Diceros bicornis minor: one gene and its partners. The protein of the gene in region 2 purifies or fractionates together with the protein of the main gene of each other region. This does not show direct contact. Links are inferred from orthologs where the notes say so. Each region holds a gene or a part of one and is shown on either strand. Other genes may lie near its edges.

Region 1 (7,180 bases), on a different chromosome or scaffold from region 2:
CCATGCTTCCCTCCTCCTTGCCCTTTTGAAAGCCCCTGCCATCATACAATTCATAGCTTCAATAGGATTAAAAGCCTATTATTTTATTACTCATATTTGTGTCCCCTGCATAGAATTAACTCAATAATGTTTGTTATAAATAAGATAAATTCCACGAAATGAGCTTCAAAACACCTCAGTCCCAATGCAAAACTGGATAGAGATGAGTTTGAGAATAAAAACACAATGAGAAAGAATAAAGCTATAAACACTTGTGCTATATTCTCTTATCACCTAATTCAGAAGCATGTTCTAACACTACAGAAATAAGTTTGCAAAGAATAAAGAATAAAACAAAAAGAATAAAAAACATGGATCTTAAAATTCTCCTTACTGTCAGCATGCTCAAACACTGTCACAGAATCTTGGATCTTAAACTCATATCAACATGTCCACTCCCAAAGTATATATATATAAATATATATATAAATATATATAAGTATATACATATATATATATAAATATATATAAATATATACATATATATATATATAAAAAGGCTTTCAAATGAGACCTGAATATAAATTGGTTCTACTTCATTACAGTTTAAGTTCCTGAAATTGTATGCACCATTTGTGTGACTGTGCTTATGCTCATTTTGTACAGTGAGGGTCTTTCATCAGATTCTCAGAAGGACAAGTGACTCCAAAAAACTTTAAGAACCACTAATCTAGCATATCAAAAACATTCCATTTTCCAGAGAGACACAGTTAAGTTGGTTTAGTTCAAATATTCTTCCTTCATATTCATAGAGGGGATCCTTACTACAAAATTAAGTCTTTCGAAGAATTCCTTCAGCTCTGCCAAAAAGTTCCAATATCTACAGACACATATATCAACAATTCCCAGATCCCAAAAACTGTTTACTCATAAATGCCAAAAGATAATGCAAAAGAAGGCACACATTATCACAAACTGGCCATCCTGTTGGATTCTTAAATACACTTGTATCCTTCCACATTAAAATGTCTGGAAGATCTAAATTCCCTCCAAACTGAAAAGACTTTTTAGGAAGGTTTTCTAGTTTCAATTTCCCACTGACTTGTCTGCTTTGCCTGACTTAATACATATACCACTGTCAAGACAAGTCCCCTCATATGCATCCAGGCTGTTTCAACAGGGTCACCTTGATTACTCTCACCCCAAGGCAGGAACAGTATATAACGAGTAGTTATTCAACAAATATTTGTTGAACGAATGAAAGAAGATCCTTCTTCCCATACATTTAAAGTTAAGCTGTCAGGCCCCAGGTAGCTGCTCTAGTACAAGTTAAACTACAGAAGACATCCCTTCCTCAAACACACAAACTCAAGTGTCAGAAATGCTCTGCTTCCTTCATAAACAAAAAATAATCAAGGATAACCATTTCACACAGGCCAACCTGGAAAGGACAACCTACATTCCACATACATGTCTGACATAACTGATCTCTACCAAATACAATCCAACCAGTCATATAAGCCCTTACCTTTCCAATAAACTCAGATTTGCCTGACAAAGACCTCCTGAGGCATCATGGTATAGTGAATACACTGCTGGACTAGTAGTCAAAATACTGGAGTTATAGTCCCAACTTTGTAACCAATTTAACATGCCACCTTCGAAAAATTATCTCTTTATGCCTCAATTTCGTATTGTGTAAAATGGGAGAAAACATCTATTCTACCATTTCACAGATATTTAGAATCACAAAGAGATTTAGAATTTAAAGATTTAAAATCTGAAAAATATAACAGCGTTATTCTATTATAAAGCGTTAATATAAACTCAGGTCAACAAAAAGGCCATCCATTCTTTATACCCTCATAGTAACTATTCTGTTAAAGATATTCTAGACCTTCACATTTACACAATTCACTCTGTTCAGAGGAACAAACTACTCTTAAGACCACAAGCAGTTTAAGTTTCTCCCACAAATATATGCTATATTGTCTAAAATACTGCTGTGACTTCTCTTTCCCAACAGGTAACAAGGCGCTCCCAATACCTAAAATACACACACACATCAGCCAGCAGGGAATATCCCAAGTTTTATTTCAAAAATAAGCTAACTTATAAGGGGAACTCCATTACACTTACACAAACACAAGCAAACTCTTCCGGAACACTTTCCTTCCTTGCATACACACACAAACACAGCCGCCATACACCAGCAGACCATCTGTCTTCCAGACCAAAAACATGTCTTTCCATGTACAAAGTAACCAGTAACATTTATTAAACTTATAACACTGAAATCATTCTGTCTTTCCTACATACAGTTCAGCATGTCAGGGACGACACACACCTGATCATACAGGTAAACTACTCTCGAAAGATCAGCCCTCCTGCCAGTCTTATTCCTTAAACAGCCACAGACTGGACTACGGGGGATGCTCCAATCGTGTCTACACAACACACAAACTAACCTGTCAGGGGCACAGCCGACTCCGCCTCCACTCGCTTACTTTCCTGCCCCCTCCCCCAAGCCAGGAGCCCGCCTGTCAGGGACACCCCTTCACCCCCGCCAGGAGGGACTTCCCGGTAAGCTCAGGATCCCCTTCCCTTCTCTCCCCTCCCCCATCCTTACCACCGCTCTCCCGGAGGTCCAGGTCCGGGAGATGACAGTAGCTCCCAAGAAGCCAAGGATTGAGTCGCGGAGGGAGTACTTAGGCCCAAAGGCCTCCCCAAGCGGTTCTACTCACCGTGTCAGAGGCCGAGGCCGAGAAAGATGAGAGTGCAGGGAAGTGGGGAAGAGGGGGCGGCCGCCACTAGGCTCCTCCGCTTCCCTTGGTCCACAGTGGATCCCTCCCGCTTGTCAGGAGGCGGCCAGCGGGTGAGCGGACTGGCGGAAATGCGAGAGAGGAGAAGGGAAAGGCGTGGGGCCAAGCAAGGGAAACTGAGGGGAGGCGGGTCCCGCAACCCAGACGGGGATCGTCTCCCCCTCCGCAAAGCGAACCCAAAATGGCGGCGGGAGCGGCGGCGGCAGAGCGGCGGCGGCGGCAGCTCCTCGGGAGGGAGGGAGCGAGCGAAGGGCGCCTCGTGCCCCCCCCCACCTCCCACTCCTCCCTCCTCGCGTTCTTCCCCTCCGTCCTCCCCCCTCACCCGACTCGGGCGGCGAAACGCGCACGCCCGCCCGCACGCGCCGGAGTGTATCTGGGCTCGTCGCTCGCCGCTCCCACCAACCACCGCCTCCGGCCGCCTTGCGCGCCAGCCAGCCCGTACGCGCTCGCTCAGGGGCGCCTCCTCGCACGGTCCCCCACTTCCCCTCGGCCCCTGTCAAGCCGGCTCTGGCACGGGCCCTCACGCGTACCTTCAGCGGCGCGAGCCCAAGCCTCCTCCTCCACCTCCTCGTCTTTCCTCCCCCCCTTCCCCGCCCCCACGGCCACCAACCGCCGCCACGGCCGCCGCCGCCGCCTCCTCCTCCGGCCCCCCCCACATACCCTCCACCCCTCGCGCGTGCGCCTCCCACAATCCCCCCGCGGGACTGTTCCATTCCTGTCGGCTGCAGGAGCGGGGGAGGAAAAGGTAGGCAAAAGCAGGCAGAGCTTGCCGCTAAGACTGGAATTATCTGAGTGGCGGACAGAGACCCATGGCTACTCACCTCCCGGGCCGGGGCGCCGCGGCTCGCCTCCCCCCTCCTCCTCACGGCCGCGGCGAGTGGGTCGGGGGCGGCCTAGCCCCCCTCCGCTGGCCGGCGGTTGGAGGCCGCGGCGGCTGCGCGTTGAGTAGCTTCCTGCCGTTCGACCCGAGCTTGCTTCTTTGCTGCGGGACGAGCACTACGGAGCAGCTTTTGATAGTATCTGCTGTTCGCCGCGTCGGGAGAATTGGTCCGCGACTCTCGGTGAGGGAATAGACCGGCGCGGGGGTTGTACCCATGAGGGAAAGGAGCGGGACTCCGCACCTCCGTGAGGTAGGGAGTGAGGCCAGGAGGACCGGCGACCGTCCTAGGGGGCTTTTTTCCGGGTTCTATGTTGCAGACTTGGGACCCAAAGAAGAACCGGCGCCGTGGTCGGCTTTCTTTTTTTTTCTTTTTTTAGCTCAGCTTAGATTTCTCGCATTTCGCACAACTGTCTATACGCGATGGTGTTTCTGTGCACTTTTACTTTTTCCTCCTGCATGGCTACTACATTTTCAATCTCATTAGGCAGCCTGATGTTAGAGGATAAGGAATCACGTATTTCCAGTTGAGTTTTGGACTGAATCGCCCGTGTCTTATGTGTCCTTCGGAAAGTTATTTTTCTTAATTCCTTATCAAGAAGAAACGAAAAACTAGACATAAAAATTAGTTAACTCCAAATCTGCCTTTGGAATTGGTGTGTGAAATAATATATGTAAAGTAGAATTAGCTCCTAGGCACAGGGAAAGTGCAGAGTATTATGTTATTGTTCTGTTGATGTTGATAAGGTTTGTGGGTGTAATTGGTAGTTTGTGTCCTATTCTAACCAAGTCGTTAATAAAACAAAGCAAAACTAGGCCTATCAGATTTCTGTGGTTACTAATACTTGTTTCTCAGAATCCTGCACGAACGTTTACTTGATGATGGAATTCAGGAGAACTATGGACTATTAAAATCCACAGATAATCCCGAAGTTTATCTAATCTACTAGTTTTTAGTTTCACCTAACCAGTAAAGCAGAAAAAATTAGGGAGGGGATTTACTTGGGTGTCCCTTTTCTTCACATCTGTGAATTTCAGGGGATCCAGGGAATAGTTTGAAAATCATTGTGCTAGATTAAATCTCAAAGGTCTAGTCAAGCTCTGAAGTTCAAGTAGACACTCCTGAATTTCCCCCGTACCATATTTCAATATATGGACCAGGCTTTGTTTGCTTGCTTTGTTTTTTTAAGGTAAAGAGGAATTCAGCCTTAATTACCTCACTATATATTTGCTTTTCCTAACTGTGTCTTAAGTGCCAAGTCTTTCATGGAGCCCATTGAAGTTTTACATTAATCTTTAATTGTGTCATGTATGCAAGTGTGTTACTCTACCAACCACGTTTTTAATTTGAGAGCAAGGACTATGTCTAACATTTTTTCTATAGTCTAGTGCAAAGCAAGTTAGGAAAATGTTGAAATGAATGTTAGATACTTAAAATATGAGAAGAGAAGGAGAATTAACATTTGTGGAATACCATGCCAGAAGAACATGTGTTTGTTTTTAATCCTTATAATAAACAACACTTTGAGATGGATCATCTTATTCACATTTTACAGATGAGAAGCCTGAGGCTCAGAGAAGTCCAGTAATTTTATCTTTAGACTTTAGTTTGCCTGTCTCTTAAAAACCTAACTTTTTTCACTATACCACATTGCCTTCGTGTAAAATTTCTCATCAGTAACATAATTGTGTACACTACAAAGAAAAAACACTTCTAATGGAATTCCGCTACACCAGTATATAAAGAAAGTTACATACTTAGGGTCTCTGCCTTCAACTAGCATTCAGTAACTCCACTGATTCATGAATTGTCGGCTAAGTATAGGCAAATAGGATAGTATTCTGTTCTTTTGCATATGCCCCAGTGCCTACTAGCAACTAAAATATATTAAGTGCTCAATAAAATGACCATATTGAATGAGTGAACACTGAATTATTTGAACCAAGGAAGGCTTGGAAGACAGACTAATGGTTCCCCCAAGATGTCCATGTCCTAATTCCTAGAACCTGTGAATATGTTATGTTACATAGCAAGAGGGAATTAAGGATGCAGGTGGCATTAAGGTTGCTAATCAGCTAACCTTAAAATAGGGAGATTATCCTGGATTATCTGATAGGCCCACTGGAATTACAAGAGTTTTGAAAAGATGGAAGAGGAAGACAGAAGAGTCTGTCAGAGTGATGCAATATGACAAAGACTTGACTGGCTCTTGCAGGCTTTGAAGATGAAAGGGCAGCCTCTAAAAACTGGAAAAGTCAATAAAGCAGATTCTCTACTAGAGCCTCCAGAAATAATACAACCCTGCAAGACACTTTGATTTTGCACTTCTAAACACAGAACCCTAAGATGACAAATTTGTGTTGTTTTATGCCACTAAGGTTGTGGTAATTTGTCACAGCAGCAATAGGAAACTAATACAGAAAGAGTCAAATCATTATTAACCTCCAAAGTACTCTGCCTTGGATTGTGGTCTGTGCTTTAATGTAAATGAGGGTATGGGTTAACTGAAACTTTTCTTTAAGCAAAGTGATAGGCACTCAACAAAACTGCCTAGATTTCCAGTATTTCCCTACTGTTCTGCTTCTCCTGGCATCAGTTTCCAAGCTGTAAATACACTGCTGGGCTCTGGGATATTGCTGTACAGCAGCAGTCTTAGCTAAGCTGCCCTCAGACTTCCTCACTGGAATAGAAGTAATTAAACATTTATTTCATGGTGCTTCCTTGCTGGGATGTTATCTAAATACAATATAGATAAACAGGAGAAGCTCTTCAATATAAACTTTTAAAATAAGGTTTCAAATGTTAAAAGAAATTTTTGAAGATAAAACTTACTAGAATATCATCAGGATTGACTTTACATTTGACAAGTTATGGGTAAATGCTGTATAAGCATAATAATCTAAATAATTTTCTATGTAACAAGGGAAGAACTCTGAAATTTTTGTTTGGGCACCAAGATTTTAAACTTATGCTTCAGGTTATTGCCTTCTATCAAAGTAGAAATGTACACTTCAGACTGCCTGGGTTCAAGGCCTAGCTCTGCTCCTTGGTAGCTGTGTAAACTGGAGAAACTTAGGTGTAGTAATAAACTGATAACTTATAAATCATTTAATCCTTGTAACAATTCTATATTTAGATGCTGCCGTTATCTCCATTTTAGAAATGAAGAAACAGAGACAAAGTTTAAGTAATTTGCTCAAGGTTACACAACTATTAAATAGGAGAGCCGGGTTTCAAATCCCAGCAGTTAGTTTGAAGAGTCCAAGCTTTTAACCATTCTGCCATACTTGCCACTCTGTTTCCTTGTCTGTAATCTTCCTAACCAAAAAAAACTCCATAAAAATGGTTTTGCCTAGGTCTCATAAAAACTTTTTTTAAATGATTTTATTTACTTTTTTTTTTTTTTTTTTTTTGGTGAGGAAGATTGTCCCTGAACTAACATCTGTGCCAATCTTCCTCTATTTTTTGTATATGGAGTGCCGCCACAGCGTGGCTTGATGA
Region 2 (7,489 bases):
GGGCACTTGAGGAACTCAACAATCTGTTTTACAATCTCTCTATCTGATTGTGATGCTACACAAGTAGAATTCATCAGGGCTTATAAATGGACTGTCAAGTGGAGAAAGGGAAAAACCTAGGAAACGTCAAACCAAAGTCAACTATGACAGGGAGAAAGTTGGGGTGGGACCTCCACTGAAAGAACACATGCAGTTTAGAACATGTGTTGGGGAAGCCAATAAGATACTGCAAAGACACCAGTAGGCACCTGAAAATTCAGGAAGAGCCCAGAAGTTGGGTCTAGAGATACTAATAGGAATTCCTTTGCAGAGAGGTAACAGCCATATATATCCTACATAGAAAAAGTAGAGGAAAGAAAAGTGGGCTGTCAACAGAAAATTAGAAATGCTTACGCTCAGGTTAAACAAAGAACCAAAGGAAGTGAGGTAGGGAAAAAGAGAATTATAGAAGTAAAATTGTGTTTTGTTTTTACAAAAGATATGAAAATACACATAAACACACAAAAAACTAAACACCTGGCATTAGGGATACTTGCTTATAAGTAAGTCTCATCTTAAAAAAATTAACATTGTTAGGTGAGTAGAAATACCAAAAAAAGGAAGGAAAAAAGCAAGGTATTTGGACTAATGTCACACATTGCAGAAAGGTTTATTTACCTAGATCAGCTAAAGTAGAAAGCTACTAACACGATAGTGCAGATCCCAGCCTTGGGGAATTGAGTCTAATTCACTGCTTTCCAAACCTAGTTAATCACTACATTATATGGGAAGCTTTTTAAGAACACGGGTTCCAGATTTAGTAGGTATGGGGTGGCCAATATTTGGGATCCACTGGTCCAATATACATAATTTATTACATGATCACAGTAAATCTGGAATCACCATTCAACTACTTCTCATCAAGTACTCTGCCACAGGTTCCTAAATCATTTGAACTATCACTGAACTGACAGAAATGACTCCACTTACCCCAAACTCAAGTAATTCTGATGATCAGTTGAATATGGGAACCGCTGGTCATGATAAAGAAGCTTCCAACCCTAAGTGTCTAGGTATTTATTACAGTTCTGTTTAACACCCTTAGAATAGATTTCCCCATTTTCTTTAATGTCACTGTGAAGGTAACTGCCTCATTCTTCAGTTAACCAATAAAATTTATATCAAATTTCTATTATTTGTTGAGCTGAAGAATAGCCTAATAACCATGTTTTGCAAATATCTTGACATCTGAAGACCTGAGTTTTGAGTGAATTTAGTTATTTAGCACACAATCTAATTTCTAAATGTTATTCTGAAGAGTGAAGCAGTTTCACACTAGAAAATTCATCATTCCAACAGGCACACTGGCTTTGCTAAAACTTTATATTATCTAAATTCACCTTCATCTTTGCATTGTTACTTCCTCCTGGAAGCCCTTCCCGATACCCCAAGTTGAGGTAATTTTTCTTCTCTCTGATCATTTTATCTGTGCCACTCATGATAATTACTGTTACATTTTATACACACACAGTCAAGGCAAGGGCAGGCGTCTTACTTAAATTTATACCCCCTGATATGTGACACCTAGTGGACCCCGAACAAACGCAAACTAAATTAAATAATATTTTACATCTTCTATTAGAAGTAAGCTACCCATGTGTAAGAAATACAAGTGATTATAACTTCTTATCATGTAAACTCCCATACACATAAACCACCCCTCCTTCAGGTGTTAGTTCTAAGCATCTCTCTAAAACTGCTCTTAGCACATATAACTGTAATTATTAGTTTATATCTGCCTTTCCAACTAGACGTGTGCTCCTTGAAGGCAGGACCATGTCTATACTCATCTTTGTATTAACCAGCTAGTACCAATGAGAGAGTCAAGTGTTTTGCTGAAAAAACTGGATTCATCACAATACTTCATGAAAGTTGACATGTTTTAATTACCCGGTCAACTAGCTATAATATGGCTACTCAACTCAGTACCAGAAACAGAAAACATCGACACGTTTTCCCCTTATCAGGTAAGTTACAAAATAACTTTACATTTTGCCTAGAAAAGATGCCACCAATAGGTTTTGATCACGTGCCTTCTACCGGCGACTGGCGAGAAGAAAACAGGGTATATCAACGTGAGAAATCTACACTGAGGACGCAACAAAATAACGTTCAAGGCATTCCTATTACCTGGTTACATCTGGAAGCCACTGTGCAGTCAGGCTGGGCCACTCCAGAGCGTGGGTCATCACCAAATCGTAAAGAAAAGGGGTGTTCTTTTTCCATATTTTGTACTCTTCGTTGATCACACGTTCTTCTACTGCGTCATCAAAGGCTGCTAAAAAGTTAAAAACAAATCAAGTTAGCGAACACAAATGGAAACTCAGTTAACACTTCCAAAGCTACCGGCCCGAGTCCCGATTCTGAAATGGGGGGATGTGTCTAAATCCCCCCGAGGCGGAGGCACCAACACGCCTCCACACCTTCGCGGGCCCGGAACCGCGCTCGGGTCCTCCCGGCCGTACGCTCCGTTAGCCGCTCGGGCGACGGCGCCGGGCCTCGGGAGACCGCTCCCTACGCGCCAATCTGCGGCCCCAGTGAGGAGGCCCGAGCGCCGGCCCCCGGGGGAGGGAGCGCGGCCGGCAGCACCTGGAGAAGCGGGCAGACCGACACAGAGCGCGGGGAGGGAGCAAACCGCCGCCGCGGCCCCCACCGCCAGCTTCACGCCGCTGCGACGGGCCTCCGCTCCCGAGGAGCTGGCGCGCCGTTAGCCCGCCCCGCGGGGCGATTCCTCCTCACGCCTTCGATGGTGGGGACGGCACTCGGCAGAGTCGGGCCTGCCCTCGCTGTTAGGCCGTGTCGAGGCCGCGGCGCAAGCCCGGCATCCCCTGCCCTCCTGGGGCGGCCCCGGCACCCTCACCTTCCTTGTCGGCCATGGCGGACAGGCGAGCCGGGGATCCCGGGGTCGAGCGTTGCCGGAGGGGCGGGGAGGCAGCGGGCGCTCGCTCTGCGCGCGCGGCCTCTATTGTTTCCTGCTGCCCCTGCGTGAGGGCCGACTCGCGCACCTTCGCGCCAACACTGACCAATCGGAGCGCGCCGAACGGCGAGGTGGGCGGGGAAGCCGTGTTCGCAGCCTATCCAGACGCGCGGAGTCGCTTTTCGAGGGGGCCAAGGCGCGCGCTCCGCCCCTGCCCCCACACGGCCCGGAGCCGACTTCTTTCGATCGCGCGCGCGCGCGCGCGCGCGGGGCTGGTGGGAGTGCGCCTGCCTGGGGTCACGTGAGAGTTTTAGTCCGCACTCCCTTGGGGGCAGCCATTTTCTTAAAGGCTGTTAAGCTGAGGACCCTTTCAAAGTACTCAAATAAGAAGTCTAGGGTGCTTTCAGGTCTAGTTATGAACTCGGGGTGAGGCGGCGAGAAAAGGCCTCTATCACTCAAACCTAGGGGTGTCTAATTCAAGTGTCCCCTACTCCTGACTCCTCCAATTTATTGCCTTAGTCCTTAGGAAAAAACTATGGATGAAGCCAGCGCAGAAAATGGGGCCTTGGCCTTTTAAGCATGTGCTCCAGGCGGCGGAGCCTCAGACAGAAGTCTTAGGGTATAAAAGTACGTCCCCGAGAACGGAGTCCTGGTTCTTTAAGGGTCTGTGCCTAGGGGCGGAGTCTAGAGCGGAAGTTGTATGTCAGGGCCGAAGTCCGGCTGATGAAGGGCGGAAGGAGAGTGTCTAATGCTGCAATCATGGCGCAGGAAGGGGAAGATATTAGAGATTACAACTTGACTGAGGAGCAGAAGGCGATCAAGGCTAAGTATCCTCCAGTCAATCGGAAGTACGAGTGTGAGTAGGTGGCTGACTTCTCTCATCCCCTCTCCTTGCCCGGGGCTTCCGGCCTCGCCTTCTACTTTGCCCCAGAAGGTGCTTCAGGCATGGTCCCATTTCGCCCTGTATTGTAGTTTCTTGTGCTTATTTGGGGGATGCTGAAGGAAAAAGCCACCTGGTCTAAGAGTTGGGACACCTTGGCTCCCACGTTTACAGTCTCTTGAACTTTTTCCACATGTGCTTAATCACATGTATCTTGTGAGAGTTTTACTTGTGTCTTAATTCTGAAGATAATCATATTTTCAAGCGTTTGCGGGTTTGTCGCCCCCATGTATCTCCATCAGTGGGATAGTTAAGAGTGTGGCTAGGTTCGAGGACTCGGAGAGCCAAGTAGGGAACTTCTAACATGGCATTTTAACTGGATCGTGTGTTAGTAAAAAAACCCAAACCTGGTTTTGCCATTTATTAGCTTAGTGACTGCAGGCAAATCGCATAACCTCTCTGCATCTTAGTTCCTTTAGCTGAGGAATAAATGAGATAATAAATATGAAAGTATAGTGCAGAATCTAAAGTTCTATGTAAACGTTAAGTTGTCATCCCTAAAGGTGGCTGTGGTTGGGAGAGCACAAATCGAACTCTTATTTCCCCGCTTAAAATATTTCACTAATCTCCCATTATCCTCTGTATGGAGTCCAACTATTTACCATAGCATACTAGGCTCGTACTTGCTGGACCCTGCATATCTCCCTAGCTCATTTTTCTCTCACTTAAAACAATTTTTAAAATTTGTTTTTAATAGGTGGTATATATGATTCAAGATTCAAAAAGTACAACAGGTGTGCAGTGAAAAGTCAGTCTTTCAACTCTGGTCCCCTGCCACCTAGTTTTCCACTCTAGATCAACCATCCTTACCATTTTCTTAAGTGTACATGCAAAGATGTTCTAGCATTTACTTGAATTTGTTTAACCAATTTCCAGTTGATGGACGTTTATGATATTTCTACTCTTTTGCTCTTAGAAACAATGCAGCAATGAATATACTTGTACATCCATTGTTTTGCACAAGTGCAAGTGTATCTGTAGAATAAATTTCCAGAAGTTACATTGCTTTGTCAAGTATATGCATTTTTAACTTCAACAATTATTGCCAATCTCCATTGAGGTTGCTCCAGTTTATACTCAACTAGCATTGTATGAGTTTGCCTTTTTCCTCACAATTTTACCAATTTGCTGTTTTACTATACTTTTTGGTCTTTTCCAATTTAAGTATCTTGTCATACTAATTGCGTTTTTCTTATTATAAATGGGGTTGAACATATTTTAGTATGTTTGGAGTTATTTGTATTTTCCCTTCTGGCATGTGTATATTCATGGTCTTTATTTTCTGTTGGGTTGTTGGTCTTCTTTACTATACAGAAATTTATTTTTATGTAGTGAAATTTATTAACTCTTTTTATGGCTTCTGGGATGTTACACTTAAGAAGGCCTTGCCCACTCTGAGATTGTAAAATAATTCTCCTGTGTTTTCTTTTACTACATTGAAAATAAAAGTTTTATTGAAGTATAATATATTTATAGAAGAGTGCACATATCCTAAGTGAATTTTCACAAACTGAATACACCTGTATAACTAGTAACCAGATCTATAAACAGAATATTACAGCATCCCAGAAGCCCCTCTCATGCTCCTTTCCAATCACCATCACTCTCCCTACTTCTCCCAGTAGCCTAACTTCTTTTTTTTTTTTGGTGAGGAAGAGTGGTCCTGAGCTAACATCTGTGGCAGTCTTCCTCCATTTTGTTTGTGGGTGGCTGCCACAGCATGGCTTGGCAAGTGGTGTAGGTCCACACCCGGGATCCGAATTTGCAAACCCCAGGCTGTCAAAGCGGAGTGCGTGAAACTTAACCACTATGTCACCAGGCTGGCCCTGCATTAGCCTAACTTCTAACATCATAGATTAGCTTTGTCTATTTTTGAACATTTTATTAATGGAGTCATACAGTATGTATGCCTTTTGTGTTTGGCTTTTTTTGCTCATATTTGTGAGAACTATATTTTTCCTGGTAGTTATAGATTATTCTTGCTCCTAGTATTTATGTGTTTTTTTAACATTTAAATCTTGAGTACATCAGGATTAGGGTAAGGTAGAAACTAAGTAGCCAATTTAATTATTTTCCAGATGATTTACCAGATGTTCTAACATCATTTATTCAACAGTCTGTCTTTTCCCTTTGATTGAAATGCAACATCTTTATCATGTATAGAATTCCTCTGCCTATATTTAGGTCTGTAGCTAGACTTACTATTCTATTCTTTTCTTCTCTCTCTCTTCATGTGTCAGTGCCACAGATTTAATTATCGAGGCTTTATTCTATCTTTTAATATCCTGTAGGACAATCTTCTGCTCAGTACTTGCCCCTTTCCTGCCATTTTTGCTTTTTTTTTCCTATATGTAGGTAAAAATCAGCTTGCTCAGATCCGTAAAAATCACTACTGGTATTTTTTTAACTTTTTATTTTATTTTATTATTATTATTTTTTGGGGGGGGGAGGAAGATCGGTCCTGAGCTAACATCTGCCAATCCTCCTGTTTTTGCTGAGGAAGACTGGCCATGGGCTGACATCCATGCCCACCTTCCTCTACTTTATATGGGGCGCCGCCACAGCATGGCTTGCCAAGCGGTGCGTTGGTGCGCGCCCGGGATCCAAACGGGCGAACCCTGGGCTGCTGCAGTGGAGCGCGCACACTTAACCACTTGCGCCACCGAGCCGGCCCCAAACTTTTTATTTTAAAAGTTCCAAATATGTACAAAACTAGGCAGATAGTATGATGACTTCTGTGCGCATATTGCCCAGCTTCATCAATTACCAAATAATGGCTTATCTTTTTTCCTCTCTACCACCATATTCCCCTGTAGGGGAAGAAAAAAAACTTCCTGTACCCTTCTTAGGTTCATTGGCTGAGGCCCTACAAATTAGACTGACAAAAGACAGATTAACTAGAGAATAACAAACAAGTTTATTAACATGGGCAACACACATACACATAGGAGTACTCAGTGATGAGTAACTCAAAGGGATGCTTAGAACTTGAGCTTATATAGCATCTTAACAAACACAGTGATTTTGTAGAGAAGTGACAAGACAAAGGAAAAGCGCTTTGCACTTCTAGGGCAGCAAATTGTGGGAAGGTAAATATGTGGGGAAACTAATGGAATCTAAGGGCTGTTACTAAGTTTATTATATAGATTCCTCTGGTGCTGACTCTGGATGCATAAGGATCTAGACTTTTCTCTGGTGATTAATTTCTGTCCTTGCTGATACAGAGGCAAAGGGGAACACCTTTACAAATTTATGTCCTACTTTTAGGCAAATAGTTCTTTGTATCTGCTTCCCTCACTTGTCTTCAGCTCAAAGTAATCTTTGTGCCAAAGTGGCATATTTTGGGGTGGTATATTCTGCTGCTTTTCACCTCCTTTCCTGTTACTTTAAAGTAAACCACAGACAAAAAATTGCTATTGGTATTTTTCAGTCATGTTAATTATAAACAGGGAGAATTAAAGCTTTGATATTTATATGAGTCTTTTTCTCCAGGAATAACGTATGCTTTTCCATTTTTCATATATTATTTTGTGTAACCCGAGAAGATTATTTCTAGGTATTTCATCTTTTTTGTTTCTGATGTAAATGATCTT
Region 3 (7,413 bases), on a different chromosome or scaffold from region 2:
GTCCTGGTACATAAGCTTCTCAAAGTTCTCTATCTGGATCCCTGACGTAATGAATCAGGAAGCAGAAATGGTGAACACTCACCTCAAGCTCATTCAGGCGCTGGACTCTGGGAGTGAAACGAAAGCTTTTTACTTCACATGCAAATGGAGGTTGCCAATCCTAAACAGAAAGAATTTTTTTAAAAAACATATTGGTATAAGCAAGGGATGCATTCTTCATTCCTTTAATGTAAAATGTCAGTTGCCACAAATCATGATGACAACAGATCAGTTCATAAGTCTTCTTTGTTGTAGAGACAGAAAGACTAGTATTTTTTAGGTGAATAATTTTAATATTATTTATCTCTAATTACTTATCTCTAATATTCTAAGTAATACTAAAATTACCTTATCTGTAATCCTCAACTCTCACCAGTCCCTTTACTTACATCCCACAATTATGCTTTCCCCAATTATTCAAGTGGAATGTAATGAGCTCATGTATCTCAATACAGTGTCTAACAAACATCCAAGTTTACCAAATTAAAAAAACAGAATTTGACAGAAACAAAAAATGGTAAAATTAAAATAATTTTTAAAAAGTACTTATATAATGGAATAATATGTTTTCCATTTGTGTGTAATGTGACACAGCACTTTACAGTCTATGTTATATAAATGTTATATTCAAAGCCTAGCTTCTGGGTACCCAAATATTAAAAAAAGTAAGCAAACCCACAGAACAAGGACAATTTCCAGATTGGAGATGTGGTATAACTTAAACGAGACAGCACATTTCAAGTAGGGTTCAGAGAACATAGCTTGATTTGGCCTAAATAATAGTAAATCTATTTAAAAACATGAGAAGTAGGGAAAAAAAAAAACTTATCTTACCTTGGAAACTAAAGAAATCCACCAATATTGAAATTAAATTCTGCTTGTAAACAAGATTTATTTTCAAAAATAATATGACATACAAAGAGAAGGTACATTATTTCAACCTTTTGTTAAGTAATAAAAAAGTTATAATTTTTTACCAAAAGGAACCTTTGCTAGAATTTCTAATTCCTAAACACAATAGAGTAGATGAAAATATGGTTTAGGAAAAACTTCAGTGCTTAAGGTTTTGTCAATATTAGATAATTTTGATTAAAAAAGAGTTAAGTAAAGCTTCTGGAGGATGGCAACCCATGTATCATCATTCATCATAGCAATTATCTGTTAATCCTTTGCTTGCAATTGATAGTCTATAATCTTAAATTCATTAAGCATAATGGGAGCAGCATGTCTAGATTTTAGAATCAAGCAGATTGATCTAGGTTCAAAATCTACTTTGCCACTCGCCCAAGATCACACATTTGATAAGTTATTTAACTTATTCCAACTTGCCTTATCTGTAAAATGAGACCTTATTTACCTACTAGGGCTTAAAAGAATATTAAACGAAATAATCTGTAGGTGCTAAACTAGCTCCTCCTCCTCCCTCCCATCTAAGCTCTTTTTATTCACTGTGGTAAGAGCAGACGTTTTTTAAAATGCGACATGGGTAAAACAGCACTTAATGTTTTATTTTTGTTAACGGAAGACAAAACATAAAGCAAGAGGTCCCTTTACGAAGCCCTAGGGCAATGGTTCACAAACTTTAATGTGCGTTAGGAGCCATCTAAGAGTACTTGCTAGAAAAGTAGATTCTAGAACTTCCACATCCAGAAACTGATTCTAGTCTCGCAATGAGGCCTAGGAATCTGCATTTTAGCAAGCATAGGGCTAACTCTGGTGCAGGTGGACCAGGAACATCATCTGGAAAGCAATGGTCTAATGGGTCAAGAAAAAAATCTTCTGACCTTGAGCAAATCACCCAACCTCTTGGGACACTAATTTCCGCAAACAAGGGGTATCCTAACGATTGAGAACTATAACTAACCTATAGGCAAACCCAGTTATTTGCAATCACTGCGATTCGTAAATCTTTGATCCATGGTTCCTTACATCAAAAGATGCCAAAGTTTTCTTCCACTTTTGTGACAATTTTGTCCTAAACCTCTAAATTTTAAAAATAAATGCTGCTCCTTCTCTTCCCCCGGGAAGATCTTTCCACTGCAGCAGTAACCAGTGTGGGGTTCTTGTTTGGTGATATATCCTAGGGGACAACTGGGGCTCAGATTACCGTTTAAGAAACCTTAGCCCCAAGATGAGGCCTGCAAATATTTACTAAATTAAGCATCGATAAGACTTCGATAAAAAAATAGCCGACGGAAGGGCAGTTTTTCCTATCGCACCTTAATGGGGACTGTATCTGACTGTACGTCATGGCACAATACTTCAAACACCTTATCGGCCTAAAGCCTTCTGTTACCCTTGCCCACAACCCGAAGTATCTGTTCCCAAGTTCTAGGCGGAAAGGCCCCGGGGACTCCGCTCTCTCGCGCTCAGACGTGCCTACCTAAGACTGCAAGAGAAACCAAAGCAAAAATATCCAGAAACTTAGCTTCTACTTGTTAGAAATGAGGGAGAGTAAAGATGAAAGGACAGGAGGACCGGAAAAATAAAGCTAAACCTAGCATATCGACTTCCCCACGCTCTCTTCTCCCCCTCTCTCCTCAGACTCGTACGGTACCTTGGGCGGTCGGATTTTGCAGATGCCGGTCTTCTCCGCCAGAGGCCGGATGCGGCCGATGAAGCTGAGTGGGTCTGTGAACTCCTCCCAGCTGGGCTCAAAGACTGGGCACTCCGGAGGGGGCACGAACTCCGCCGCGTAGCCCCCTGGCCCCACGCCCGCCATGGCAACACCCAAGGGACCCCGTGCGGGGACAGATGGAGAAAGGCTGGCTGAAGCCCACCGACCCCTTTCACGTCCCCTGACAGGGGCCGAAGCTCATCTTCTCGAACAAGACCTGCTCAACACGGTAAGCCCAGAATCGCTTCCTCCTCTCGTTTGTTATTGTTTCCTTCGGGGCTTTTCCTCTCAGGGCCAGGACTTTTCCGGAAGTTAACGTACTGTCAAATCCCTCCGCACCCCAAAAAACAGAATCCCTCCGCAGCAACGCGACGCCTTGTTGTACGACCTTTCTTCTTCGTGCCTTTCCTGGCAACCCAGTGTCGTTCCTGGTCTCCTTGTCCGCGAAAGTTCCGAACGGTCGGACGACTTCAAGCGGCACACCCTAGAGGTCCCACGATCTCTCCTATAGAAGAGGTAGGGGTGGGGGAAGCGGGCGGCTATGAGGCAAGACGCACTCTTCCGGCGCGGAGGAATGTGTAATACACCAGAGGGCAGAGGTTCTGCTTCCGGCGAGGAGGGTCCAGTTCCCTTTTGTGTATAAAGGGACACGAAAGCAACGCGGCCCTAACCTCAGCCGTCCCATTTCGCTGTTGGGTGTATGGTTTGTTTTAACCTACCTATCTGTGTTTTTTCAAGTAACTAAGGTTTTCAGCATCTCTCTCTTTTTTCAGTACTTTGACTGTTAGTATCTCTTTTGAATAATCTCACTCGTCACTTTGTAGCCGTCCCATCTCCATGACAACAAGTTCTGGTCCGAACCCATCCCTCAAATCCTGCCGGAGACCTTAGCCACTGTCCAGAAATTGGTTTTCCTCCACATAGAAGCAACGGCTCTTGACCTTGCTTTTCCAACTATTGACAACACCCAAGTCTCTCAACAGGAGCGCCTTCCCTCTGGCACCACATGCTCCGTAAGCCTTTCTCAATTTGCTGTAAAATCTATGACAGCTGTTCTGACCCTGCTCATCAAAACGCTCTATGCCGGTGTCCAGCTCCACTTCCTCCAAATCAGGGAGAATAAGGTAGAAAGGACTAAAGAAGAAACCACGAAAGGATAGTTCTTAGTTTAAATATTTATTGGGGGGCCGGCCCTGTGGCCTAGCAGCTAAGTGCGCAGTCTCCGCTGCTGGGGGACTGGGTTTGGATCCTGGGCGTACACCGATGCACCGCTTGTCAGGCCATGCTGCTGTGGCGTCCCATATGAAGTGGAGGAAGATGGGCACAGATGTTAGCCCGGGGCCAGTCTTCCTCAGCAACAAGAGGAGGATTGGCATGGATGTTAGCTCAGGACTGATCTTCCTCACAAAAAAAATATATATATTTATTGGAAGGAAGACTTTCTTCCCAGGGCTTGTTCTCATACTCCCTGTGCAATCTCAGCTACCCCCAGGACCTAAATTGCCAGGTATGGCTGATGCCCCCCAAATCTATTTTCAGCCTAGATTTCTCTCCTAAGTTACAGCTGTAGTACATCAAGCTACCTACTGGACAACTCCACTTGGTAAACTCAAAGTACCTTGATTAATTAATTTAAAGTTAATTTTTCCAGGAAGATAATAGTTCTTCCACTAGTTCCTCACTGTTTTTTCAGTGTTTCCAGTTTCCATGAATGACTTCATCCATCTACTCAGTTGCCAGAGCCAGAAATCTAGAAATAATCCTTGACTCCTGCTCCCTTACTGCCCATGCACAATCGTGTGTCAAGTCTGGAAATTCTATCACCTAAACATCTTCAATCCACCCATGTCTCTCCATCCTCATTATGACTAGCCTAATTTCTCTCTCACCTGAGCTATGATAACAGCACAGTTCTTGCCCCCTGTCAAATCCCTCTCCACTCAGTTGTCAGATTGCTTGTCTAAAATCCAGAATTCATCTTGTCACTTTTCATCTCCAAACTCAATAACTCCAAACTCCTTCTTAATTATTTGCTGCCTCAATTATATTGATTCTTACTTTGAGATATATTATTGCTGTGAAGCCTGTGATTTCTCCTGCACAAGTAAGAGAAGCTAGAATTTACTTTTCAGTTATTTGAACTGAACTAATTAAACATTAATTTTTCCAGGAAGGTAATAGTTCTTTCACTAGAAAAAGAAAAACCGGTACGTGATGTTAAGAATGAATGGACAGGGGCTGGCACAGTGGCTTAGTGGTTAGGTTTGAGCACTCCACTTTTGCAGCCTGGGGTTCGCAGGTTCAGATCCCAGTTGCAGACCTACGCACCACTTATCAAGCCATGCTGTGGCAGGTGTCCCACATATAAAGTAGAGGAAGTTGGGCATGGATGTTAGCCCAGGGCCAATCTTCCTCACCAAAAAAAAAAAAAAATGAATGGAGAGAGAGATTTGAGTGTTTTCATAGTCAGTAAGTGAGTAAAACTTGGAGAAAAGGTGAAAATTGGCAAAAAGTACATTTTATACAAAAAGTATAAAATGCCAGAAAGAGATCATGTGAGAAAAGACAAGATAGGCACAATTTAATTTAGCAATTAGTAGGTCATAGAGCAATTTCAAATGAAGTTATGGAGTTGAAATCCAATTTCTAGTGAGTTGCAAAGTGAATGAAAGGTAAAGTAAAGGAACCAAGCATAGACTTAAGATTCTTGGTTGTGGAGGGAAAGATGGGGTACAGGAAGAATGGACTGTCACCTTAGAAAAAAGAGGCAACTGCAAAGCAAAGGAGATCACTTATTTGGAGTCTCAGAATTGCAATTCGGGGAACACAGGTACCCGCAGCAGCCAGAAAAGTGTCCCCCTGAGGAGTAAAAGTCAGATGTTTTTATTAGCAAAATGGAGAGCCCAGAACAATTACCTCAGTTGTTTGTTAAGATTTATGAATGGAGAGTGAATTAGCATTGGCTTACTCAAGGACATCTTGTTGTTACCAGAAAAAGTATATTTTTGCACAGTCCTTCAGAAAGTCCTTTCTCAGCAAATATCTCCTTTTGGCAAGTCAGCAAGGTCAGCACAGTTTCATATTTTTAAGAAGATGGAGTCCAGAGTACAAAATGGAGTCACTGCTGAGAACTTGTTTCACAGGAGTTTGTAAAGAAGAACCAAACAAACTTTTTACGAGCTAGGAGAGATGAGTACATCTAAGTGCTGAGAAGAAAAACTAATGGAGCACTGGAGATTGAAGATAGAAGAGAATAGTCAAAGTCCCTAAGAGATCGAAGAAACTAGAGCATGATGAGGGGGGGCCACCTCTTTCTCTGAAGCAGAGGAAGGAGGTAAGTACAAGTACAAAGATGATAAGTAAGTGGGTGAGAAGGCAAGAAGTTGAGGCAGTGGTGCCTAATAGCCTTTGAGAAATGAAGAGAAAGGTTCTAGGAGGGCTGCTTTAGGGGCTTGAAGCAAATGGTGAGTGTCCAAAATAGCTACTGTGGAAATTAGAAGGAGCTAATGTTTCCTGAGAAGTGTTCTTCACTTCTGAGGGCTTAATTAAGGTTGGAGACTGTACGTTTATGTTAATACCATTTCCCATAAATGTGAGACATTCTCCAGCAGCATACATAGAAGGCAGATGTAAAGTGTGGGGATTATCAACATAGTTACAACAGGAAGATAAGGAAAAAGAAGTGAGATTACTGGCAAGAACATTAATGTCATGCAGCACAAGACTAAGCTGATAGGAAAGAAAAGCTCTGGGGTGGGAGAATATATCATGTTAGTGTTCCCCAGGCTGCTTTTCTCACAGCCTCCAAACATGTTCTTCCCTTGTATTTCCCATTCTGATTAATGTCAGCTACTCCAGCTAGCTTCCTGTCCTGGAGCCAGTCAATTGGAACCTTTAAATATCTCCCATTTCCCCCTTCATAGTTCCATCGTTGCCACCCTTGTTTAGGCCTTTTCCTTCATATGAATTATCACTGTAGCCTCCCAGATCTTCAGGCATTGTTCTTAATTGATCCTCTGCCACCAGTGTGATTTTTTAAAAAAATTATCAGTCTGGGCTGGCCCAGTGGCATAGTGGTTAAGTTTGCACACTCCGCTTCGGTGGTCCAGGGCTCACAGGTTCAGATCCCAGGCACAGACCTACGTACCACTTCTCAAGCCATGCTGTGGCAGGTGTCCCACATATAAAGTAGAGGAAGATGGACAGGGATGTTAGCCCAGGGCCAGTCTTCCTCAGCAAATAGAGGAGGATTGGCAACAGATGTTAGCTCAAGGATAATCTTCCTCTCACACACAAAAAAATTATCAATCTGATGTTGGGTGATTTCAAGAGAGGGATGGGTTGAGAATAACCTTTTGACATTTGAGTGAATGATGATGCATTAATGTAGATGTAGAATGGAAGAAGAAGAGCAGTCTAACAGGAGAGGCAGTATACATGTAGGGAGGAATGTTAGACATACATTCATGTGTTCAACAACAGTTACTGAGCAGGTGCTATGTTCCAGGCACTCTTCTAGATGCTGGATATATAACAATGAACAATAAAAAGACAAAGTATCTCCCCTCACAGAGCTTACCTTCTAGTGGTGAGAGGAGGCAAAATAATAAGCACAAGCAAATAAATACATACTATTTTAGGTGGTGCTATGGTCTTTTAAAAAGTAGAGAAGGAGGGATTGGGTGGGTGGTAAGGGGGGATAGGGTAGTCAGAGAAGGGCTCAAGATGGATGACATTTGAATAGAAATTATGCTATA
Region 4 (6,889 bases), on a different chromosome or scaffold from region 2:
TAGATGGAAAAGAACTAAGCAATCACCAGTGTGACCCCACTGGCCTCAATCTCATTTTCTAGAAGGATAAACTGAAGCCACCCAGAGTCGGGGCATGACCTGGCCAAGGTCACCCAGGCCTTCTGACCCTGGCATACGTCCTTTCCTTCCTCAACATTTTCCTTATACTATTCTCAACTTCCACTTTTCTCCAGAAAAAAGCAGAAATATGTCAATTGGAGAAATGTTTGAAAGCATGCTATATCTTAATAAATCATAGAACACTGCCAACGTCTACATGAAATGAGTTAACCTGCCTAAGTTGGACTTTTGCTGCCATTATTTACAAAGGTTCTCTGCTAGACCCTTTTACAAGATAGTCATTATTTCTCCTTAACCATTTTCAAGTATATACTGGTTTTCAGAAATTTCAGAGCTCAGTGGCTGTGGTGGGGGTGGAGGAGGAGGGTGGTAGCTCTAGTGTTTTTTTTCCCACTTTCTGCAACAGCTAAAAATTCTTGTAACACAGCAGTTACTTAGAATTGAATTCCTGCCCGAGCCTGTGAGAATGAAACAAATCCATTTCAGAAATAAGGACTCTACAACACCACCTTGAAACAAACTGTGAGCGAGTCCACCTCAAACCCTGCTCCTTCAGAAGCACTGCCTTTCGGGAACTCCAGTGCCAGGCTAAGGCTGCCTCTCTTCTAGACAGTGTGTGTGAAACCATCAACATGGCTCAGCACAGGTTTTCCAGTGGTAAATAGAGCCCCAGTTGCAGCAGCACAATTGTTCAGATTTGACTGCATCTGAGGGATTAAAAGAACTGGAAACTTCTTTTTTGTAAGGACTGGAAATTATTATTACTATAAGCTGTTCAAGCAAAGGCTCCCAACAACCTACATAGAAGGTAGGCAGTGTTTCCAAGAGGATGAATTCACTGCTGTCAGAATTAAGCCTTTCACTTCAACGTGTTTCCTAATCTGCACCACCTTAGTGTCTATCTAGCCAGTTTGCTCTCAGATGAATTCCTTTCATTCATTCATTCATTGATAGAGATTTGTGGTAAGAAAGCCACTAATTCACCCCCAACCATCTTAAAATAGCATCTTTCCATTCAAGAGTTGCAAATGTATTATAATTGTTAACTTTAAAAACAATTGGGGGTGGGAGGAAAGAGCCTGGAAGAAAGGGCAGGGAAGATTTTTCACTTAGGAAAGACTTAATCAAGGCTTATTCATGGGGTTTGGAACTAAATCAGACAATGCGTTTAAGAAATTAACCAGCCTCTTAAGTGCTGTGTGATTTTGGCACGTCACTTCCTATCTCTGGGCCTCAGTTTCAACTGTAAAATCAGAAGTGGAAAAGTGGGCGTCCTTTCGGTTTAACAAGCAATCTCTGATTTCTCCCAACAGTGGAGACATTTTGGTCCTAAAAGAGAATAGATGTTAACCGCCTAAGCTCCCAGCTGGTCTACCTGAATATTAAATACCCCCTTAACTCATTTCCAGTTCCTAATCAGGAGGCAGCCACTTAAGGCTTGCAGCAACATATGTCAAACCACAAAGTTCTTAATTGGGTGACAATAGGCACATATTTAGAATTGTTAATTAGAAGAGGTGAAATCACACAGGAAAAGTTTTCCTATAATTAGGCACAAAACACGGGGCAATTCTATTCAAATTGAAATCCCCCCTCCCCCCCTCCGCATTTCTAAAGAAGTTACCCCTAAGAAAATTGATTTTCTTCCTTCTAGTCGTTTCGACTTGTAAGAGCCACCTCCCAAGACCAGGTCTTGGCCTTATTTCTGCCACATCCTTGAAAATCCCATTTCCTCACAGCCGCATGCGAAGCAGCGAGCTCGGTGACCCTCTGCAGAAGCTGAGGCCGCGGCAGACAAGGAAGTAACTGCCACCTTTCCTTTTCTGAAGGAATAACAGAGCTCCGAGAAGGAGGGAGAAGTTGGAGAAGAGCCGGGTCCCTTCATCACCCCCTCCCCAGTACTTGCTGCTTCGTGGGTCAACAAAATTAACCCACCTCTCCCTGCTCCAGTATCTAAACCAATGAGACAAGCTAAAAACTTGTCAAGTCTTCCCAGGCAGGCAGGGTCCGCGGAGGCCCCCGCCCCCAGCCTCCCGGATTTGGGCAGAATCCCAGCCAGCGCCTGTCAGCGCTGAAGCGGCCTTTGCAATCCCGAGTCCCACTCCCCAGTTTGCAGATAAAGGGCGGCGAGGCCCAGGGCGGGGAGGGCCCCGGAGTCCGGCCGGCAGCCGGAGGCGGCGGCCCGAGAGCTGCGGGGCGCGGGGGCGGACTCACGCTCTTGTCGATGTCCAGCTTGAGTTTCTTCTGCGAGATGCTCTTCTGGACTCGCTTGCTGAAGGAGGCGTTGCCCGCGGGCCGGACGCAACGCTCGCCGTCCTCGATGAGGCAGCAGCTCTGGCCGTAGCCCGGGGCGGCGGCGGGGGCGGCGGGGGGCCCTTCGCGGCTGTCCTCCTCCGTGCTAAAGCCGTTCATCTCCCCGCCCCGGGCCGGCCCCTCTGGGGGAGGGTCCCCTGTAGGCCACTCCGCGGCCGCGCGCCCCCGGGGGCAGGTCGCTGAGGCCCCCGCACCTGAGGGTCCCCGAGTCCGTCTCCAGCCGAAGCGCTGCCCTGCCCCGCGCCCGGGAGGCCCGGCTCCGCTCCGCCGCGCTCCGGCTCCTTCGGCCCCGGGCCCCGCGTCTCCGGAAAGCCCCTGCCTCCCCGCTCGAGGCCCCGGGGTCGGCTCTTGCGGCTCGCAGGGCCCCGCCGGGGGTCACCCGGAGGCGCCTTCGGCCGGGGGCCCAGAACCGCTACCCTTCGGCGGGGGCGTCAGGGAGGGCGTCCCAGGAAGCAGCCGCTCCCCGGGGACTCCGCGCCCGGGTTGCCAGGAGGTTTCGAGGGCCCCCGCCGGCTCCCGCCTTCTTTCGGCTGCTGGGCAAACTCGCCGCCGGGCAGATCCCCCGGGGTGGCACGGCCTCCCCGCGCGGGACCCGGCCTCGAACCCGCGGCCCCCGGGCCCCGCGGCGCGTCCGGCCCGTCCCACCCCTGCAGCCGCTCGGCTGCGCCCCGAGTCCCGCGGCAGCCCCTGGGCCGCCCGGCCGCCGCCCGCCCAACGCTCCGCACCACAACAGTTCGCTCCCCCCGCCCTCCGCGGGACAGCGGAAGTCCCGCCTCCGCGCGCCCATTGGTAGCGTTTGCTCTCTGGGCGGGGCCGCCGCCGCCGCTGGCGCGCCCCATTGGGCGCGACAGCCGCCAGTCCCCGGCGCCTGGCTACTTCCTGGACTCTGCTGGGATGGGTTCAAAGTAGAGAAAGTGGAACAGGGAAGAGTTCCGTGGGTGAGGGAGGGGAGCGGGCCGCAGACTCTCCCGGCCCAAGGAGGGGCGGTGAGCAGGGGCCTGAGTGGACAGAGGGGCAGACTCCGGGAACAGAGGACCACATTCAGGGGCGGACAGAAGTACAGACGTGGGCGGGGGCGTAGAGGAACAGACGTGGGGAGGAGCATATGAGGGGGAACCTAAAGGGAATAGAGGTACTGTCATGAGAGGGACAGACTGGGTAAAACGGGAGGGCCAGGGCCAGAGGACCCGCAGACTGGTGGGGGAGGTAGGGTGGGTGATACAGGACAGAAAGCCAGTCATGGTGGGAAAGACAGAGGGACAATCCCGTACTGATACGAGGAAAGACGTGCAGGGGAGATGATGGGGGTCTCATGGCCGGTCTTGCAAGGTAGTAGGATGCTTGAGGGTGGCGGAGACCCCAGACTGTGGGGACTGGGGATGGTTTGGTCCGCGCGGAAGAAGAAGGGGAGGGGAAGGAGACTCTCCAGGGGCTTGGGTGACCCCTCCGCCGGGAGGAATCGGAAGTCACGATAAGGTTTGGAGGGTGGACTAGGGGAACCGCGGGGAAGAGGGAGGCTGCGGAGGAAATGGAGAAAAGGCTGGGGGTGGAGGACCCAGGGTCAATCTTGGCATGAGGAAGGGCTTGCTGAGTCTTGGGCCCTCCCTGGAGATCTGTAAACTGTAGCTTCCATTGCTTTAAGCCTCCGGTACTACTCGCTAGGTGACCGCGCCCTGCCAAGCCCCATAGCTCGGGGTTCGGCGTCCAGGGCGTGACACATATCCAGAAAGACCATAGGGAAATACTCTAGTGTAGCACCCCTAGTCAGGCCACCTCTCCCCTGGGCAGCTTGGGGACAAATGAGGGCTAAAGATCCGAAGGGACTAGCCTAGTGTCATGACGTGATGTAATCATTTAGGGCTGGGTAGCATTTTTCTAGGGGAGAACGGCGTGGAGGGGATGGGGAGTGTTAGGTGAGCACGTGTACCTATCTTGGTAGTACTAGGTGGCATTGAAGAGGCTTCTGGTTTGTGTCCTGTGGAAAAAGGGAAAGCCACCAGTTTCTATGTTTACAAGCAGATGCCCTGTGATCTTAAATTTTCCTCAGTGGCCTTAAATGTATTTGTACCCTCTAGCCTAGTAATTTCACAGGTGGGACAGCCATTTTAGGATATTGACCTGGCAGAGTCAATTTAAACACAACAATGTTCATTATGGGATTATTTATAATGGGAAAAATAAAAAAAGAACCTAAAATTTTTACAAGGGAAGTGGTTAAGTAAACTACTTGACATCTTCAGAATGAGATATTTTGTAGTCACTTATGATGTTTTCAACATTTAAGGTAGTTTCAACATCAATTTTCTATAAATTTCTGTATACAATAATTCAGCATTGACTCTTCAACAAGGAGTTGATGATGAGCTAGAGAAATGCTTTATTTATGTTAAAAATGCAGGCTATAAAGTTGCATGTGGGATATAATGTGTGTACATCTATGTTAAAAAAAAAAACTTCGTGCATAAGAAATACACGAAAGTGTTAATAGCAATTATTTCTGGGTGGTGGAAATATTGTTGATATTTTTCTCCTTTTGTTCTATCTTTGCATTTCCCCCCAATAAACATTTATTGCTTTTACAGTAGGAAAAAATAGAGTAAAAAATTAATGGAAAAAAGGCACAGTTTAATAGGATTCCTCCTTCAGAGTTCATATATTCAAAGTAAATTATTGAGCATATTGCATACACTCATTTCAGGGTTGGCTACAAGAGGAGGATGAAACAGAACTCAGCCCTAAAAGAGAATATCTTCTTCAGGGCCGGCCCGGTGGCTTAGCGGTTAAGTGCTCACACTCCACTACTGGCGGCTGGGGTTTGGAACCCCGGGCGCGCACAGATGCACTGCTTCTCCAGCCATGCTGAGGCCGTGTCCCACATACAGCAGCTAGAAGGATGTGCAACTATGACATACAACTATCTACTGGGGCTTTGGGAGGGGGGGAAGGAGCAGGATTGGCAATAGATGTTAGCTCAGAGCTGGTCTTCCTCAGCAAAAAGAGGAGGATTAGCATGGATGTTAGCTCAGGGCTGATCTTCCTCACAAAAAAAAAAAAAAAGAGAGAGAGAATATCTTCTAACAGGAGAGCTCAGACATATACAAAGAAAACAGCTGGGTATCTGTACAAGGCAGTGTATAATGTTGGTTCCAAAGCTGATTGGTATGGATAAGACTTCTGTATTTCCCACATATATTTTGCACTTAGATACTTTTTCAAAACAGTGTTTGCATCCAGCACCAGGCTACTACAGTACACACAGCTTCTTTAGCACCAGCTTCCCCAGGCACCACTCTTCTGGTAGGGGAGGTGGTGAGGGCCTTTTCCTTGGGTGCTCTATCTCAGCCCTAGGGGGACTGGCTGCTCCTTATATCTGCTATGCCTGTATTCTTCGGAGTTCTCTGCTTCTTACTAGGCAATACCTCGTTACTACAGTACCCTATTATAATTAATAAATCTTTCCCTATTCAAATTAGTGTGTGGTTTCTCTTTCCTAATTGGACCCAGATTGATACCCCCAACCTCTATGTAATTTTTTTTGGTTGGGGGTCATGCCTTTAACTATCTTTTATGCACAATTTTATAGTCTTTTTTCAAGGAATGCTTTATCATAAGCTTTCCCCATGTTATTATGTAGATTGGCTCTAAATAGCAATATCTGGAAAAAATTCTGATCCCTTTGCTGGGGGAGTAAATCTGTAACTCCAGAGAGGAAATATAAATAAATATTCAGATAATGAAGAAATAAATGAATACAGGAGAGAAGCTTCTGTGATCCTTGTTCTGCTCTGTGTAGGATTTAAGATTCTTGAAATGGCCAAGAGAATCTGATTTGCTACATTTATAAGTTTAGATAATTAATTTACAACAATTGCTTAAGTGCTTAGAAAGATCTTGCGTTTTAGATTTATAAGTCTGCCTTGTTGGGCATTTAAAGTGTTTGAAAAAAAATAAGGCATATTAAATTTGTAACTGTAGTCTGAACTGTCTAAGGAAATTTGATTAATTAAGGCTGTAAGTCTGTTAAATCTTTAAGGAGGATTGAATCTATTGAACTTAAGAATTAATTCAACAGTAATCAAAGAACAAGTGAAAGTGATGGTCCCTATCTTTATATGAAAAATTACTAGATTTATAATGGAATAAGATTTGTAAGTTGAACTTAAAGCCTTTAAGAAAAGCTAGGTTTTAAAATGGGCAGCTTGAATCAGTAACTATAACATTCTTTTCCATACCCAAACCTATCCCCAGATATTTAAAATTATAGGTCGATAACCCCCCAGCTTTATAGTTCTGGCTGAGACCTCTCCTCTGAGCTCCAGATAGCATCATTCAGCTCTTTGCTTGGAATGCTCCAGAGGCATCACAGACCAACATGTTCAAGTTATAACCTTCTCTGACACCCAAATCCATAAACTGCAACCTGTCCCACCCTTAAGTCTCCCTTCCTCTCCCCTCACTCTAAGTCAACCCATAGTGGAGGCACTTTCGTCTACTT

What was found.
Region 1: the proteins of RBBP4 (region 2) and ASH1L purify together in Homo sapiens (affinity purification with mass spectrometry; 3 studies listed by BioGRID and IntAct, with this or other methods). This does not show direct contact. The link is inferred for Diceros bicornis minor from reciprocal best matches to the Homo sapiens genes RBBP4 and ASH1L.
Region 3: the proteins of RBBP4 (region 2) and KDM5A purify together in Homo sapiens (co-immunoprecipitation; 3 studies listed by BioGRID and IntAct, with this or other methods). This does not show direct contact. The link is inferred for Diceros bicornis minor from reciprocal best matches to the Homo sapiens genes RBBP4 and KDM5A.
Region 4: the proteins of RBBP4 (region 2) and SAP30L purify together in Homo sapiens (affinity purification with mass spectrometry; 3 studies listed by BioGRID and IntAct, with this or other methods). This does not show direct contact. The link is inferred for Diceros bicornis minor from reciprocal best matches to the Homo sapiens genes RBBP4 and SAP30L.

What each region holds. Positions count from the first base shown.
Region 1 is NC_080743.1:59,406,809-59,413,988, forward strand, and holds the start of ASH1L (histone-lysine N-methyltransferase ASH1L), read right to left. Parts: upstream 3,017-7,180; 5' UTR 2,855-3,016; coding exon of another isoform or gene 2,750-2,854; 5' UTR 2,724-2,749; intron 1-2,723. Other genes in the region: DAP3 (small ribosomal subunit protein mS29), read left to right, coding at 3,611-3,862. UniProt on the Homo sapiens protein: Histone methyltransferase specifically trimethylating 'Lys-36' of histone H3 forming H3K36me3. Also monomethylates 'Lys-9' of histone H3 (H3K9me1) in vitro. The physiological significance of the H3K9me1 activity is unclear.
Region 2 is NC_080752.1:47,309,682-47,317,170, reverse strand, and holds the start of RBBP4 (histone-binding protein RBBP4), read right to left. Parts: upstream 3,007-7,489; 5' UTR 2,916-3,006; coding exon 2,900-2,915; intron 2,318-2,899; coding exon 2,170-2,317; intron 1-2,169. Other genes in the region: ZBTB8OS (protein archease), read left to right, coding at 3,680-3,812. UniProt on the Homo sapiens protein: Core histone-binding subunit that may target chromatin assembly factors, chromatin remodeling factors and histone deacetylases to their histone substrates in a manner that is regulated by nucleosomal DNA.
Region 3 is NC_080756.1:59,031,387-59,038,799, forward strand, and holds the start of KDM5A (lysine-specific demethylase 5A), read right to left. Parts: upstream 3,007-7,413; 5' UTR 2,762-3,006; coding exon 2,597-2,761; intron 161-2,596; coding exon 83-160; intron 1-82. UniProt on the Homo sapiens protein: Histone demethylase that specifically demethylates 'Lys-4' of histone H3, thereby playing a central role in histone code. Does not demethylate histone H3 'Lys-9', H3 'Lys-27', H3 'Lys-36', H3 'Lys-79' or H4 'Lys-20'.
Region 4 is NC_080740.1:70,927,866-70,934,754, reverse strand, and holds the start of SAP30L (histone deacetylase complex subunit SAP30L), read right to left. Parts: upstream 3,008-6,889; 5' UTR 2,494-3,007; coding exon 2,296-2,493; intron 1-2,295.